2 linked regions of the Alligator mississippiensis genome follow. The protein of the gene in region 2 interacts with the protein of the main gene of each other region in a pairwise test. Links are inferred from orthologs where the notes say so. Each region holds a gene or a part of one and is shown on either strand. Other genes may lie near its edges.

Region 1 (6,867 bases), on a different chromosome or scaffold from region 2:
CTGTTCTGTAATCCCATGGGCTTGTAAAAAATGTATCCCAGCATTCATCCTAATTTATTGGCAACCTGTTGAGGAAGATAAAAGATTATTGCAAATAAGAATTTGATTAGACAAGTACAGTCAACAGAAATATTGCACAAAGCTAGTAGAACACAAAGAAGGTAAGCTGGCAGCCAGTCTCCACCCCCCCCCCCCCCCATTTAAATGAAGAGAGATTGGCAAGTGTGAAACTTCCACGTTTATGCAATTGCAAGGTCCCAGTAGGAATTTAAGCATGATTGAATATGAAGAATAAAGCTAAACTTTGGTGCAATTAAGATCATACTAATCTAAACTGCAAGACCTTAATTTTACTAACAAGAATGCCAAGAATATAAAGTTAAACACCTGAATAGAAGTTTGCAGGATCAAAACCCTCATCCGCCCACATATTTCACTGTCATATTTGGAGAAGATGAACATGTAAGAATTCAAAGTAAAATCTTCCCTTCCAGCAGACAAGACAGTACAATGTGGATTGGGAGTGTGGGCTGAGGGCTGATGATACAGTGAAAAAGATATTTTGTTCTGTCCCCAATTTTAAGGTTCTTCTAAAACTGCTTAAAACCAGTTTCCTTAAAACCACTGCTCTATGGGGAACACTGGGACTTTCCTATATTCAAGGCCAACAACAATTATAAAAAAATAAAAAAAATAAAATCACCTTGTGTCAATTTTTCACTGAACTAAGTGAAATCTCACAAGCAAAACTGACCTCACTAATCCAGCATAGGCACACCCTGTGTATAGGACTTGCATCACTTCACTATGATCTGCAAACTTGGACTAGTCCAAAGATTTTTCTTAATGGAGTCTCATGCCAGAACCCATACCTTATAAAGCTGATGAAAGTATGCTTATAAAGCTGACGAAGCAGCTGGTTGTTGCCCAGTTTCTATTTTTGGGCAACAAACAGTGACACTGCTAGGAAGACTGGCAGAAATGAGTCAGTGAAATTAAATGCAACAACAGCGCAACTCCAATTAGTCAGAATAAACATTAATTGTACAAGTGATGTCAGGCTGCGTGAGCAGAGGCTGTGCACACCAGTCTGCACTCTTCCTACGTCGTATTTTTCTCAGTTTCCAGTTTTTAATACTCCATGCCTCTAGTCATTGAAGCAGCCGTCCTGCCTGAACAAGTTGGTAGGAGCTTCCTAAAGATCACAAACAAATATCCTAGCATTCACTGCACAAGATACAAATTCCTGTTACAGCATTTCATAATTGCTCTATTTGAATTTCAGTCTGCCTCACAAATGAGCATGAAAAATTGGCCCCTTTAAAGTCAATGCCAGTTCTGCTGTTTACATCATTAGGGAGAAGAGTTCACTTGGGAAGCGAATCAAGTCACTCACTTTAGCTCTTATTAGGAGCAGGCGTCTTGTTCTCTCCTTCTAGTTCTTCCACTCCTGCCTGCGTCATGAGGTCGGCTATGTTTTTCTCCAGGTCATCAATGCGACAGCTCATGTCATCAAGTTAACTCAAGTTAAAGAAAATGAACTGTACATGATTTACACTCTTATTTCCTTGCATATAACTTCACTCGGGACGGCTAACGGTAACAACCCGAGCTGCAAAGATAAGCGTTTGATGGACATAAAAGTTTGCAAATATCTTTGACGCGCACCCAGAGAGGCACGAGTACGAAAAAGGATATTTCTTCCAATGATCTGGTCAGACATGGTCTGAAATTTGTCTTGCATCTGTTGAAGCAATGTCTGTACCTAAAACACAGGGAAAGGCTTAAGTTTAAAGCATCGCTTTCAAACTTTTCATCCGAATATCCCCTCTTTCTACTTCTTTAGCCTAGTGCAGTAACTCTGAACCAGGTGCCTTGATATCCTTCCAAGGGTGCTGCCAGCATGTCGCCTGACGTTACCACAGTTACGTGAGCCAACATTTGACGAAACCAGAGTTTTCACGTAGGGATCCACAGCGTTAAAACGTTCGGCCCCGTCACGTCCTGCAGAGCGCTCTGTCACAGGAGCCCAGGCGCGCACTGGTTACTCGGCAGAGGCGCGCCGGGCCGGGGCTATTTGACCCCGGCGGACATGCGCTGGGCCGGGGCACCCAACGATCTCGCGAGGTGTCCCCTCCAGCCTCAAATGTCCGAGAACCTGAAACTTGCTATTATCCACCCATAGTCAAAAACCGCGTGAAAAGTTAAAAGCAAGCAATTCCCAGGGGGTGCCTCGAGCCTAAAAAGGCTGAGAACGGCTGGCCGGGCAGCTCCGCAACCCTGCTTGAAGCCGTGGGGCAGCCCCATCCTCCCCACCGCTACGCCAACAGGGGGACGTCGAGACACAAGAGCATGAGGGAGCTCGAGCTCTATGACGGCGGCGCTCAGCCGCAAGTCCAGCCGGCGGGGACAAGCATCCAGCTTGCGGGGATACCGCCGGGTTGGAAAATGCAGGCTGTGCAGCCGCATCCAGCCCTGTCCAGATGTCGCTGGGCTTTTGGGGGGCCCAGCTTCCTGTGACGCGACACTGGGAACACTCGAACTCAGTGCCCAGCTCCTCCCCTGTGCTGTGGTACCTGCCTCCCCACCTCCCTGCCAGTAGGGGGCAGCAGCAGGCACTCTGTGCCCTAACAGCCCGCACTGCGCATGTGCACCGCTGCCCCTGACGTCACCCCCCAGGCCCTTGCACCTTGGCAGCCCGCAATGCGCACGCGCACCCCTGCTCCTGACGTCACCCCTCCAGGCCCTTGTGCCCTGGCAGCCCGCATTGCGCATGCGCACCGCTGCTCCTGATGCCATCCCCCAGACCACGCCCCCAACGGCCGCCCGGCCCCGCCCCTAACGGTCGTCCCTTTGGCTCTTGCTCCAGAGGCGACGCCCACGGCCGCGGCCCCAGGTAAGTGCCTCACCACGGCGGTCAGGTCCTGCACGGTCTTGGGGTCGGTCTCAGCCATGGCGTCGGTTCCGTCAATGCGCGCCGCGTCCCGCTCCCGTCTCCAAGGCGCGGGCACTTCCGGGCCGCGCCCAAATCTCGCGAGAGGAGAGCCCTCCCTTGCCCGTCCTGGCCCGGCGCGAGGGGCATTGTGGGGAATGTAGTCCTCGCTGTTCAGAGAGTACAAAAGACAGTGATGCCTACCGTATTGTCTAGTAGAAACACGCATATTTCCTCCCTGCCAATCAGCCCTCCTTCCAAAAACATAAGAATTAAATGTGGGGGTGGCCTATGAAGCCAGCAAGGGGTTTGTTTGTTTGTTTGTTTGTTTTTAATGTTTACCCATCTGAGCAGCAGCAGCCCTGGAATTGCTCTTCAGGCAGCTGATGGAGTCATGGCACTGTTGAGTTCACACCCATAGTTCGCCACTGCGTGGGTCTGCGCTCCACGTACTCCCGTGTTCCCTTACTTCTGACCTCTGTATTTTAAATTCCCTAAAACAGGCCTGCAAAATTGAGCAACGACTGCCATTTGAATAGGTTGTAGAAATCTCGCCTTTTTAAGGGTCCGGAAGTACCACGAATGAAGCTCAGGTATCTGGGGTGCAGACGTATTCATCTAGAGAAAACCGTAATCTGAACTCGTGGTAGAGGTGGGATATCTTTTATTAGACCAAGTAGATATTTGCCACAACAAAAAATGTCTTTAATTGCAAGCTTGCAATCGAAAGCTTGCAATTAAAGTTGGGTTTTTTTGGTTGCAAAACTCTAATTGGTCTAATAAAAGACGTGAGCTCTACCATGAGTTCTGGTTACTAATGAAGCTCAGCTTTCTTAGGGGGATCATGCCATCTATTTCACAGGGAGCGCATCTACACAAGATGCGAGGGCGACCTAGTGTTGGCGGGCACGAAACCCTGACTCTGATGCTATTTTGCAGCAGCAACAAGCAACAAGTAGTTCATTGGTACTGCTCAGTAGGGTCGGAAACAACCCATGCGCTGCCGGGACTACAAAATAATGGTGGTTACTGCGCAGCCGCCAAATGACCGTGCAGTAACTGTGCAGTTGGACCCACTGTCTGGCTCTTTTAAAGCTCAGAGATCCACCCATGGAGACCTGGCTTTATCTAGGGCTTTAGTTATGCAGGAAAGGGAGGCTGAGTGGGTTGAAGATTAGCCTCTGTGCACCCATAACCCTGGGCAGTTTGTGTGTGTTTTTTTTTCTTCAGGATGCCTTTCAAAAATAGGGTGTAAGCTATATTGGGGGTTTTATATACAGGAAAATGGGGTGGTTCTGAAGCCAGAGGTGCTGTTGCAGCTGGAAGCAGGATCTGAAATGCAAAGGCATCCATAGTGTTTCTGTTCAGACAATAAGCCCTGTTTTGGGTAGTAGGAGGCAGAGTATTAATTATAACTAGTGAGGAGTGGCAAAATCTCATAGGAAGAAGTGAAGATGTTAAATCTTTATTAATTTATTTTTGCAAAGCATTAAGCTTAGCCATAATCCTGCTGCTTGTTGTGCTGTTTCAAACAAAAGCTGTGCCCATAGGGAGATGTCATAGTTTCTTTCATGCATTTAAGAAAGACTTTCACGAATTGGAGAGAGCATAAATATTTTCCAGACTCCAAACGGTTTGAGCTGAAGTAATCCTCCACCTTTTTTGTTTTGTTTTGGTTTTTTTTTTGGGGGGGGGGTTATTTAATTTTGGAGGTGACCACAAATGAGCAGTTAAGCCTGATTTGCAAGCATTTACAGGTAGTCTGGATTCTGAGGAGGGCTAGCTGTAGGGACAGCGGCGTTATGGATTTGCAGTGGAAGTCAGAAATGTTATGTAAGGGACTGATGACTAACTGAAAGCATATTTGGGGATTTATGGCAGATTGTGTGTAGGAAAGAAACTAGGAGAAAATGTGAGCAGTTTGAGCAGATGCAATTCGTGCCAGACACATCTTCATTCCGTGATCTTTGGGCATAAGGATAGGTGCTGCCAAGCTGCATGGGATAAGATTTCACAAAGGAAGAAGATGCAGGAGAAGCTTTCCTTGGCACAGGCCCGCTGGCCGCAGATACCTTAGCTCATTGATAGTTTTCTTTTGTAAAACAGCCAGCATTTTTGTGGCTTGGTGATTGTGAAGAGAGATTCTAGTTAACTGTGGCCAGCAAATGTGTGGTGAGCCTGCAAGTGCAGGACGTTTCTCATTATCTTCACGTGATCTTCAAAAGGCACCTTCCAGGCAACTGCAGGCTGCTGTGCTGTATTAATAGCATCTTTCCGACTTAAGCCATCATGAAATGAAGACAGGGGGATTTCCATTAGGGAGGTGACCATCACAACAGTGTTAAAGTAATACAAGATTCATTATCTATGAGTGGGTTGTTTCCGAAATTAATTACAGTTTCTTGGTCTGAGGAATGGAGAAAAAATAATTTTTTTTAAATTTTTTTTTATTTAAAGGACGTGTTTACCAAACTGGGGTTGTGATTGTCATTTGAATTGCATAGTCTATCGCTAACACTCCTTATCCATCCCTTTCTACCAAGGTCTCTAAGCATCTGTGTAGATGCGCTGCATATAACTATTTCTCCGTCTGCCAGCTCTTTCTTCTGTGCAGACATGATTTTGTCCTTCTGCTGTATGTCCTTGTGGCAAAGCTTGGTTGCTGTTTGTTTCCTATCGATCTCTTTAATGCTGTTTAGGCAATTGCTTACTTAATTGACTCCGATTACTGCTCAGCCTAATGCCTTTTGTTTTTACCTGTATGTGTCCCAAGTGATGCCAAACCGAAAGACAATAAGATTGGTTTGTGTGCAGGCACACCAGTGAATCCAGAGACTGTCCAAGGGTTTGGGGTGTGAATTTGAGAGCATGCACCAACTGCAGATGCTTCCTCAGCCTGATGATAGGCATTTAAACCCAGGAGCTTGCTACGGAGAATTTTTCCAACTATTTGAGTTGGTCTAATAAAAGATATGAGTTACCCAAAGCACCTTGTTTGCCTGTACCAACTGTTTCTTGCCTGAACCTCTTAAAGGCAGAGTTCTCTACAGCTCTTTCCCCAGACAAACACAATACTAACAATAAAGCAACATTAACATAATACAGAATGGCAAATACTTTATAACCAATCTATGAACTCAATTTGTTAATATTGTTCCGTTAGCTTCTCCGCTGTTGAGCCTCACAATGTCTCATGGATTGATGAGTCCACCCCGAGTCATCAGCAGCACTTGCCAGGCTGTGGTAAGTCCGTTCATCCCAATTATGCCAGGTCTTGAGGTTCAGCTCTCTCACCTACTATTGTTGCCCTGTGGTCAACTCAGCAGGGAGTTGGAAAAGGCATTTGTGGTCCTTCACAGTACATTTCCATGTGTCTGAAATGACGGGCTCACCCTGCAGGTCTGCTTGTTGTCATTTCGGAGGCAGCCTTCCCAGGGCAGAGCATCTGAGGATGCAGTAACTTTGCAAGCAGAGATGGCCATTCTTTAAATGGCAGCAGCTCCTGGGACACCAAATCATCACACCTTTTTGGTTTGCCTCCTGTCTCTAATACTTCTGCAATTCCCCACTGATTCTGACCTCCATTTCTAACAGCCCAGGCCTGCTTGCTTCCAGTTCTCTGTTGAACAAATGTCAACTAGTAACAACTCGATCTTCGTCTGCAGGGTTCTGTAATTTAACAGTGATTAATTTAACTGCAGCCTTTTTCAATAAGTGCTTCATTATCTTGACAGCGTTTTCCACCAGCCTGTTGGATTCCAGATAATGGGTCCGTGTTTACATGTTAAGCTGCACTCCGTCGCAAATGGCTTAAACTCCAGTGCAAGCCGTTGTCAGACATTCGCGTCAGACAAACCATGACTAGCAAAAATGGATTTGATATGCCCAATCAGCAGTTCAGCTGCAGTAGTTCCAGTCAGGCCATCTCAGAGAAA
Region 2 (6,854 bases):
TACTGTATGAACCACAAACTGGTTCAGAAATGCCACAGTTCTTTTCTGCTGAATAGCTGGAACCTATGTTACACAAAACAAAAAAAACCCCAAAGTTTACACGCAGAAAACATGCATTTCCAATTCTTACCCTTGTATTCAAGACCCGATTTTGAAGTTTATATGAAAGAGGCTAAGAAAATATTTTAATCATTTGTCCTAACTATACCATGAATATAGGAACATGAAAAAAAAAAAATCAATCAATATTTTAATCTTCTAAGTGTGAGTGTAGAGACAAGGGAATACCACCTGAATAAACAAAGAGGTTTTCATCACAAAAGAGAATGTTTTAACCTAAAAGCAATTTTCTGAAAGTCATCGTAAAACACAGTAAAATAAAAATCTAACTCTAAAAGGAAGTGGATCAGGGTCTCTCCCTTTGGGTCTTAGTACTGGGGAAATTAAGTACATTTACATAAACTAGTATCTAGTTACAATTGGGAATAGAAAGCAGTTGTTAGCCATGTTAGTTTGAACTCAGGCAGAAGGCAGGGTAGAGATGCACTTTGTTAGTTAGACACAAGGCACCTTCAGAAAATGCCATCTCTTATTTTTCACTCATTTTTTCAATGCAGAAAAACAGTAGATCAATTCTACTGTTACAAAGAACTCTGAAAGACCACAGCAGGGCAGAACTGTTTTAATACTATGGATTCCTGTTCGAAATCTCTGGGTTTATACTGTGAAGCATGCTTGCACACCTAGCAGTGCTGTGTGGCACCTCACAGCACCCTTGAAAGGATCTCAAGGCACCCCAGGGTGCTGTGGTACCTGGTTGAAAATCACTTGTATAAACTAACTGAATGACAGAAGTACAGTATAAGCTCATAAATCTGGATACCAAAAATCTGGAATGATCAAAAATCTGGCACTGCCCACCACCCTCCTGGACATGGAGGGAGAAGTCTGTAGATGGTGGCTGCTTCCGCCGTTCACCACAGTGTGCCACTGCTCCATGTGTGGCCGCTGCTCTGGGACCAGCTGCCGCTACCCTCGCCCCTGCTCCGCGACCGGCTATCACGCCAGTTCAAAAAAATCCAGCGTTTTCAAATTTCCAGCAAGTGCTCAACCCCAAGCACGTCGGATTTATGAGTTTATACTGTATAAGCTTGTGTGAGCAAGAGCTCATCATTTCATCAGATAGCAACTTGACTGTCAGAAGGCTAAGTGAAGGACACACGTGCAGCTGCTTGCTGCAGCTTTTATATTAAAGGGTGCCACTTCTCCACACAGCTAGACCTCATCAACAGTCCCAAGCAGATGACGAGAGAAGCAGTACCCCTTCAAATAAAAGACATGGCCCACAGCTGGAGTACTGCAGCAGTCCCACGCTGCTGTTTGCAGCAGCTGTATATAATCCCAGCCACTTCGCAGGGGGCTAAGAAACCTAACCTTGTGAACCATTTGGTTCTATGTATTTTGAGAAGGATTAACTATTCATGCAAATGTTTACTTAGGCCCAAAATGGGAAGTTTCTGAGGCACTGAATTTCTGTTTTTCTTAGATGTACAGCATCTGGTACAATAAGGCTTTGATTTGGACCTGCAAATGCTACTGCAATATAAACAATATTGTAAAGTCTCAACCTTTGGGTAAAAATGAGAGAATATGAACACAAAGCTGAATCAAAATACTATGATTATGTCCCAATCTCATCTAAGACTATTGCAAAAATAGTGGTGGTTCCATAAGCAGTCCACATTTAACAAGTTGAAAAGTGTAAGACAAATATAGGAATCACCTATTCAGTTACTCCTCCACTTTTGTAGTTCTGTTTAGCATTGTGTTACCCACAACCCAAGCAATTTCACAAAAAAATTGGATAGCAAATATTTATATTTCTCTTGGGTTTAACACCTCCCAGGAACACCTGGGAGATGACTGGATCCCACAATCAATCTGAACTGTTCTGCATTCTGTTTCGCAGTTCATAAGGAACCCTGAAATTAAATAAAAGCTACACCGACTTGAGAAATACTACTTTGTTAAACAGTAAAATTTTACATGGAAAGTATTAATAGATGAAGTATTCTGCTGCATTCTGCTTTTGCAGCAGAGGACTTACTGCTGACAGCTCTTTTTGTGCCAAAACTGCTCAGAGGTAGAAAAGAAAAGAGGCATTTGGGAAAGAGAAAGCATGTTTTGCAAAAGTGATTCTTTAAAGAGAATTTCTTAACTACCACCTTGTTCGGCCCCTTACACTTTGAACTCCAAGATCAACAGATCAGTTAATATCCTCCTCTTAACTGTAGAAGTTCATAGCTTGTACTATCTCTATCTACCTACTTTGGCTAGTCTATAAGGTGCCTGATCTACCCTGCCTTCTCCTGGACTGCAGACCAACACTCCCCTGCTCACAGACGGCACCAGGCACAGCAGGTGGACTCCCCGGGGCAGGGGCTGCACCCGCTGATGTCACCAGGTCCCTTCCAGCCCTGAACTCCTGCGAATATCTACACTGCTCAGCTTTGAGCACCTCTTGTCACAGCTTTGATGAAGTGAGCTTCAGTCCACAAAAGCTTGCGATATACACACAGATATCTCCACATCCGTCCACCCACTTTGGTTAGTCTTTCAGGCAGGAGAGCAGAAGGCAGAGTACGCTGGCACCTCACAGGCTATCCACAACACACAGACAGCTACAGCACGAGCTTCCCATAGCCTACAAGGTGCCTGATCTACCCTGCCTCCTGCCTGCCTTCGGACTACCAAGGCCCTGCCCGCAGAGGACCCCAGGCGCAGCCACCTGAAATGGTCTGCACCCGAAAGTCTACATGGGGAAACCTGCTCAGTTTCGAGCAGAAGAGCACCTCCCGCTGCAGCATCTGATGAAGTGGGCTTCAGCCCACGAACACTTGCGTTTCGAGCCCGCACCTTGGTGAGGTCGATGCCGGAGCCCACCAGGGGCAGCCCGTCCTCGTCCATCCCCCGGGGCAGAGGCCAGAAACGACTTCCAGCCTCTGACCTCCGCCTGCCGGAAGCAAAACCGACTCCACTGGGTCGACCCTGCTCTGCGCATGCGCGGGAGGGAGCCGCTAGAGGAATGCATCATGGGAGTGGTAGTTCCGCCCAGGCGCCCCTCCAAGCAGGCGTGGTTAAAAGCCACCTGCGTCCACTTCCGGTGTCTCCACCTCTTGAAGGGGCTGAGATTAAGGACAGGGCTTGTTTTTCCGACTCGATTTGCGGTATTTGGTTGTTTCAATAAAAGATGCCACCTTAACAAACCCTTGCCTCTTATTCCCCCGCTTTTCCCCCAGGGGGTGCTTCAGTGAAGCCAGCAGGGCTGAGGGGAGGGGGGCAGAGGCAGATCCAGGGGGTGCGTTACAACCCCCTTTGATTCCTGCTCCACCCCAAATGTGTTGAAAGCTTGCAAATAAAGATTAAAAAAAATTTTTTTTGGTGCAAATATCTAGTTGGTCTAACAAAAGATATCACCTCTGCCAGGACCTTTGATTCCTTTTGGCAGTGGCAGTAGCATGCCTAGTCAGGTAGCGCTGAGGGAGTCAATGACTTCGTGGCTCGGTATAACTTACCCTTTCAATAATAATAATAATAATAATAATAAATACATCATATACCCATCATAATCTACCCTTCTAAACTCTTCATGCCACCAGTGTTAAGGTTGCTTTCTTCTTTTTAATGGTCTTGATGTTCCACCAGTTAAGTGATGACCCCAGCAGGCCTTCCTGCCCAAGTGTGGGGGAGCTGGATCGGGTGATCTCATGAGGTCCCTTCCAGCCCCTAACATCTCTGAATCTCTGAATCCTTTGTTCTGCACTTCTGCTGTTATCTGCTCATTGTCCGGAAGCTCCTATTTCACAGCCCTGCAGATTGTTTTTAACTCATTTGAATGAAATTATATTTGTTTTCACTGTAATCTTAAACTGAATACTGCAGCCCTGGGCTCCTAGCACATTAGTAAAGCTTCTAGTTTAATTGGTGGAAAATATGTATTGCTTTATGTGTGAAGACACAGCTCACCCCGGTTCCAAATTCTAGATCCACCCGTGGGTGGAGCTGCATCCTGAGGAGCAATGACAGGGCTCAAGGGCTCAGATAACTTGTGAACACCAGCCCCCACTGTAGTTCTGCAATGAACACCCTCATGCACTATTCCTTGAATGCCTAAACAGAGGAGTTTTAAGCTGTAGCAGAAAGGTGGTGTTGTCTTCCTGTATAGTGTCAGTGTAATGGTTACTGGCACGTTCTGGCCAGTTTTGCTGTCTCCACGTTTTAAAAGGGTTGAAAATAGAAGAAGAGTTCAGGAAAGAATTGTCAGAATGCTCTGATGTCTTGGAGAACTGCCTTGGAGAAAGGGCTCAAGAAGCTTGGTCTGTTTTATCCAAAATCAGGCTAAGAGGAGACTTGATTGTAGTCATCAGGCAGGAGATGTCTGAAAGCAGACATCTCTTAAATTTAGCAAAGTTGTAACAAGATCTGGAGGATGAAGGTCAAAGCCAGACAACTTGGAAGTGGAAATAAGGTGCACATTTTTAAAAGTGAAGTTTAATTAATGTTTGGAACAATTTCCATCACAAAGGTTTCAAATCAAGATGGGATGTCTTTCTAATTCAGGAGTGTCAGTCATCCAGCCTGCAGGACAGGTCTGGCCCAAAGAACTGTTCCATCTGTCTAGAGACAGGCCAGAGTATTTGAGGACGTGGTTAGTGGGGAGTAGGGCCTACAACAGAATTGGGGGCGCTGTTGGATATGGGTGAGGGAGGGCTGTGCTGACACTGCCCCCCAGTCAGTTGGTCCACTGTCACCACCACTTGCACTGTCCTTAATTGTCACAAAGGGCCATTTGCCCCATCACCTCTGCAACTGTTGGTTGTGTTGCTGCTGCCTCCAGCCCTGCCACATCCACCACTTGTCCCATGGATCCACATTCAGCCTGTGGCACAGGTTGAGTTTGACACCCCTGCTGTAGCTTATGGTTTCTCAACCAGTGGTCACAACTCTTGAAGAAAGTCAGATAGGCCATGAGGTCTTGGAAAAAAAAATGCTGCAACTTAATGTAAAGAAAATCTCACTCCTGTACTTCCTACACACTTGCCCTTGAACAAATTTATTTGAAACAACCTTGCCCAGATAAATTGTATAAATTCACTGTTCTCACTGACATACTTTTTACTTTTACTTTTATCATAAATTAAAGGGGGTCATGACTTTGCATAAGAAATCATCAACCTGAAGAGTTTAAGAAGATCTGGTAGAACTCAGCCCGAGCAATACAGGGCTTACCGGGTGGAATTTTCTGGTTTGTGTTATACAGGAGTTCAGACGAAATTATCACAATGACCTTTTCTGACCTTGGAAAACCTAGATATTCTGTGAACATTTAATGACCAATTCCTGGTACAAAGACTCAGAAAAATAAAACATTCCTTTCCTGAAATTAGAGGATGTCCATTTCCCAAGCCATTTGCAGCAAAGTCTATATAATCTGGAAAATTACAAAAATTTTACTGCTCTCATGTTTTGGACTTCCATGGCAAGAATCAATTCTATGGTAGTGGTGGTTTATTTTTCTCAGATATATTTGGCATTTCACAGATCTGTGTTTCACGAAGGCAGATTCAGTCTTTGTCTTTCATATCTTTTGACTGACAGATGTAATGATTTTTTTTCTGTGGCCCATTTGTCAATTTATATGTAAGATACTTGTGGATGGGTACAAACTGTTCAGGAAGGACAGGCAGGGGAGAAGAGGAGCAGGAGTTGCGCTGTATGTGAAAGAGCCATATGATTCTTCACAGATCCAGTATGAAACTGGAGATAGGCCTGTTGAAAGCCTCTGGGTTAGGGTAAGAGGAGAGAGCAACAAGGGTGATGTTGTGTTGGGGGTCTGCTATAGACCAACAGACCAGGAAGAAGTGGTGGATGAGGCTTTCTTCAAACAGCTAGCAGAAGTTTCCTGATCACAAGCCCTGGTTCTCATGGGGGACTTCAATCACCCTGACATCTGCTGGGAGGGCAATACAGCAGTGCACAGGCACTCTAGGAAGTTTTTGGAGAGTGTTGGGGTCAACTTCCGGGTGCAAGTACTGAAGCGGCCAAGTAGGGCTGTGCTCTTCTTGACCCGCTGCTCACGAACAGGGAAGAATTGATAAGGAATGTAGTAGTGGATGGCAACTTGGGCAGCAGTGACCACAAGATGATTGAGTTCAGGGTCCTGAAGAAAGGAAAGATGGAGAGCAGCAGAATAAGGACTCTGGACTTCAGAAAAGCATCTTCAACTCGCTCAGGGAACTCCTGGGCAGAATCCCCTGGGAAGCCAGTCTGAGGGGAAGAGGAGTCTAGGCTGCACTCTAAAGAAGCCTTACTGAGAGTGCAGGAACAAACCATCCTGATGTACAGGAAGACTAGCAAGTATGACAGACCAGCTTGGCTTAGGAGGGTACTCTTCAGTAAACTAAATCACAAAAAGGAAGCTTCTAAGAAGTGGAGACTTGGACAAATAACTAGTGAAGAATATAAAAGCATTGCTTGGGCATGCAGGGATGAAGTCAGGAAGAGAAAAGCCAGTGGTGTACTGACGGGGGGCGGGGCATGTCCTTGGGTGCTGGCTGGGTGGGGGTCGAGGCAACTTGGCCCCGCACCGGCACTTCCGGTTTCCAGGCTTGGTGATTGACCCCTGGGGGATCCCCCTCCTCACTCGGTGATTGGCCGTGGACTGGGGAGGGAGGGGGTGCAAATGTAAGAATTGGCCCCCGGGTGCAGGAGACCCACGGTACGCCACTGGCCAAAGTGCAATTGAAATTGAAGTTAGCAAGGGATATGAAGGGTGACAAGAAGGGTTTTGACAA

What was found. The genes of interacting proteins can lie anywhere in the genome.
Region 1: the proteins of WASHC3 (region 2) and HSBP1 interact in binary tests that used the Homo sapiens proteins (3 or more experiments, as listed by UniProt). The two-hybrid records come from large-scale screens. The link is inferred for Alligator mississippiensis from reciprocal best matches to the Homo sapiens genes WASHC3 and HSBP1.

What each region holds. Positions count from the first base shown.
Region 1 is NC_081833.1:72,035,956-72,042,822, forward strand, and holds the start of HSBP1 (heat shock factor-binding protein 1), read right to left. Parts: upstream 3,018-6,867; 5' UTR 2,955-3,017; coding exon 2,910-2,954; intron 2,897-2,909; exon of another isoform or gene 2,725-2,896; intron 1,766-2,724; coding exon 1,699-1,765; intron 1,517-1,698; coding exon 1,398-1,516; 3' UTR 1,397-1,397; intron 66-1,396; 3' UTR 1-65. UniProt on the Homo sapiens protein: Negative regulator of the heat shock response. Negatively affects HSF1 DNA-binding activity. May have a role in the suppression of the activation of the stress response during the aging process.
Region 2 is NC_081827.1:107,401,568-107,408,421, reverse strand, and holds the start of WASHC3 (WASH complex subunit 3), read right to left. Parts: upstream 3,028-6,854; 5' UTR 2,968-3,027; coding exon 2,917-2,967; intron 64-2,916; coding exon 1-63. UniProt on the Homo sapiens protein: Acts as a component of the WASH core complex that functions as a nucleation-promoting factor (NPF) at the surface of endosomes, where it recruits and activates the Arp2/3 complex to induce actin polymerization, playing a key role in the fission of tubules that serve as transport intermediates during endosome sorting.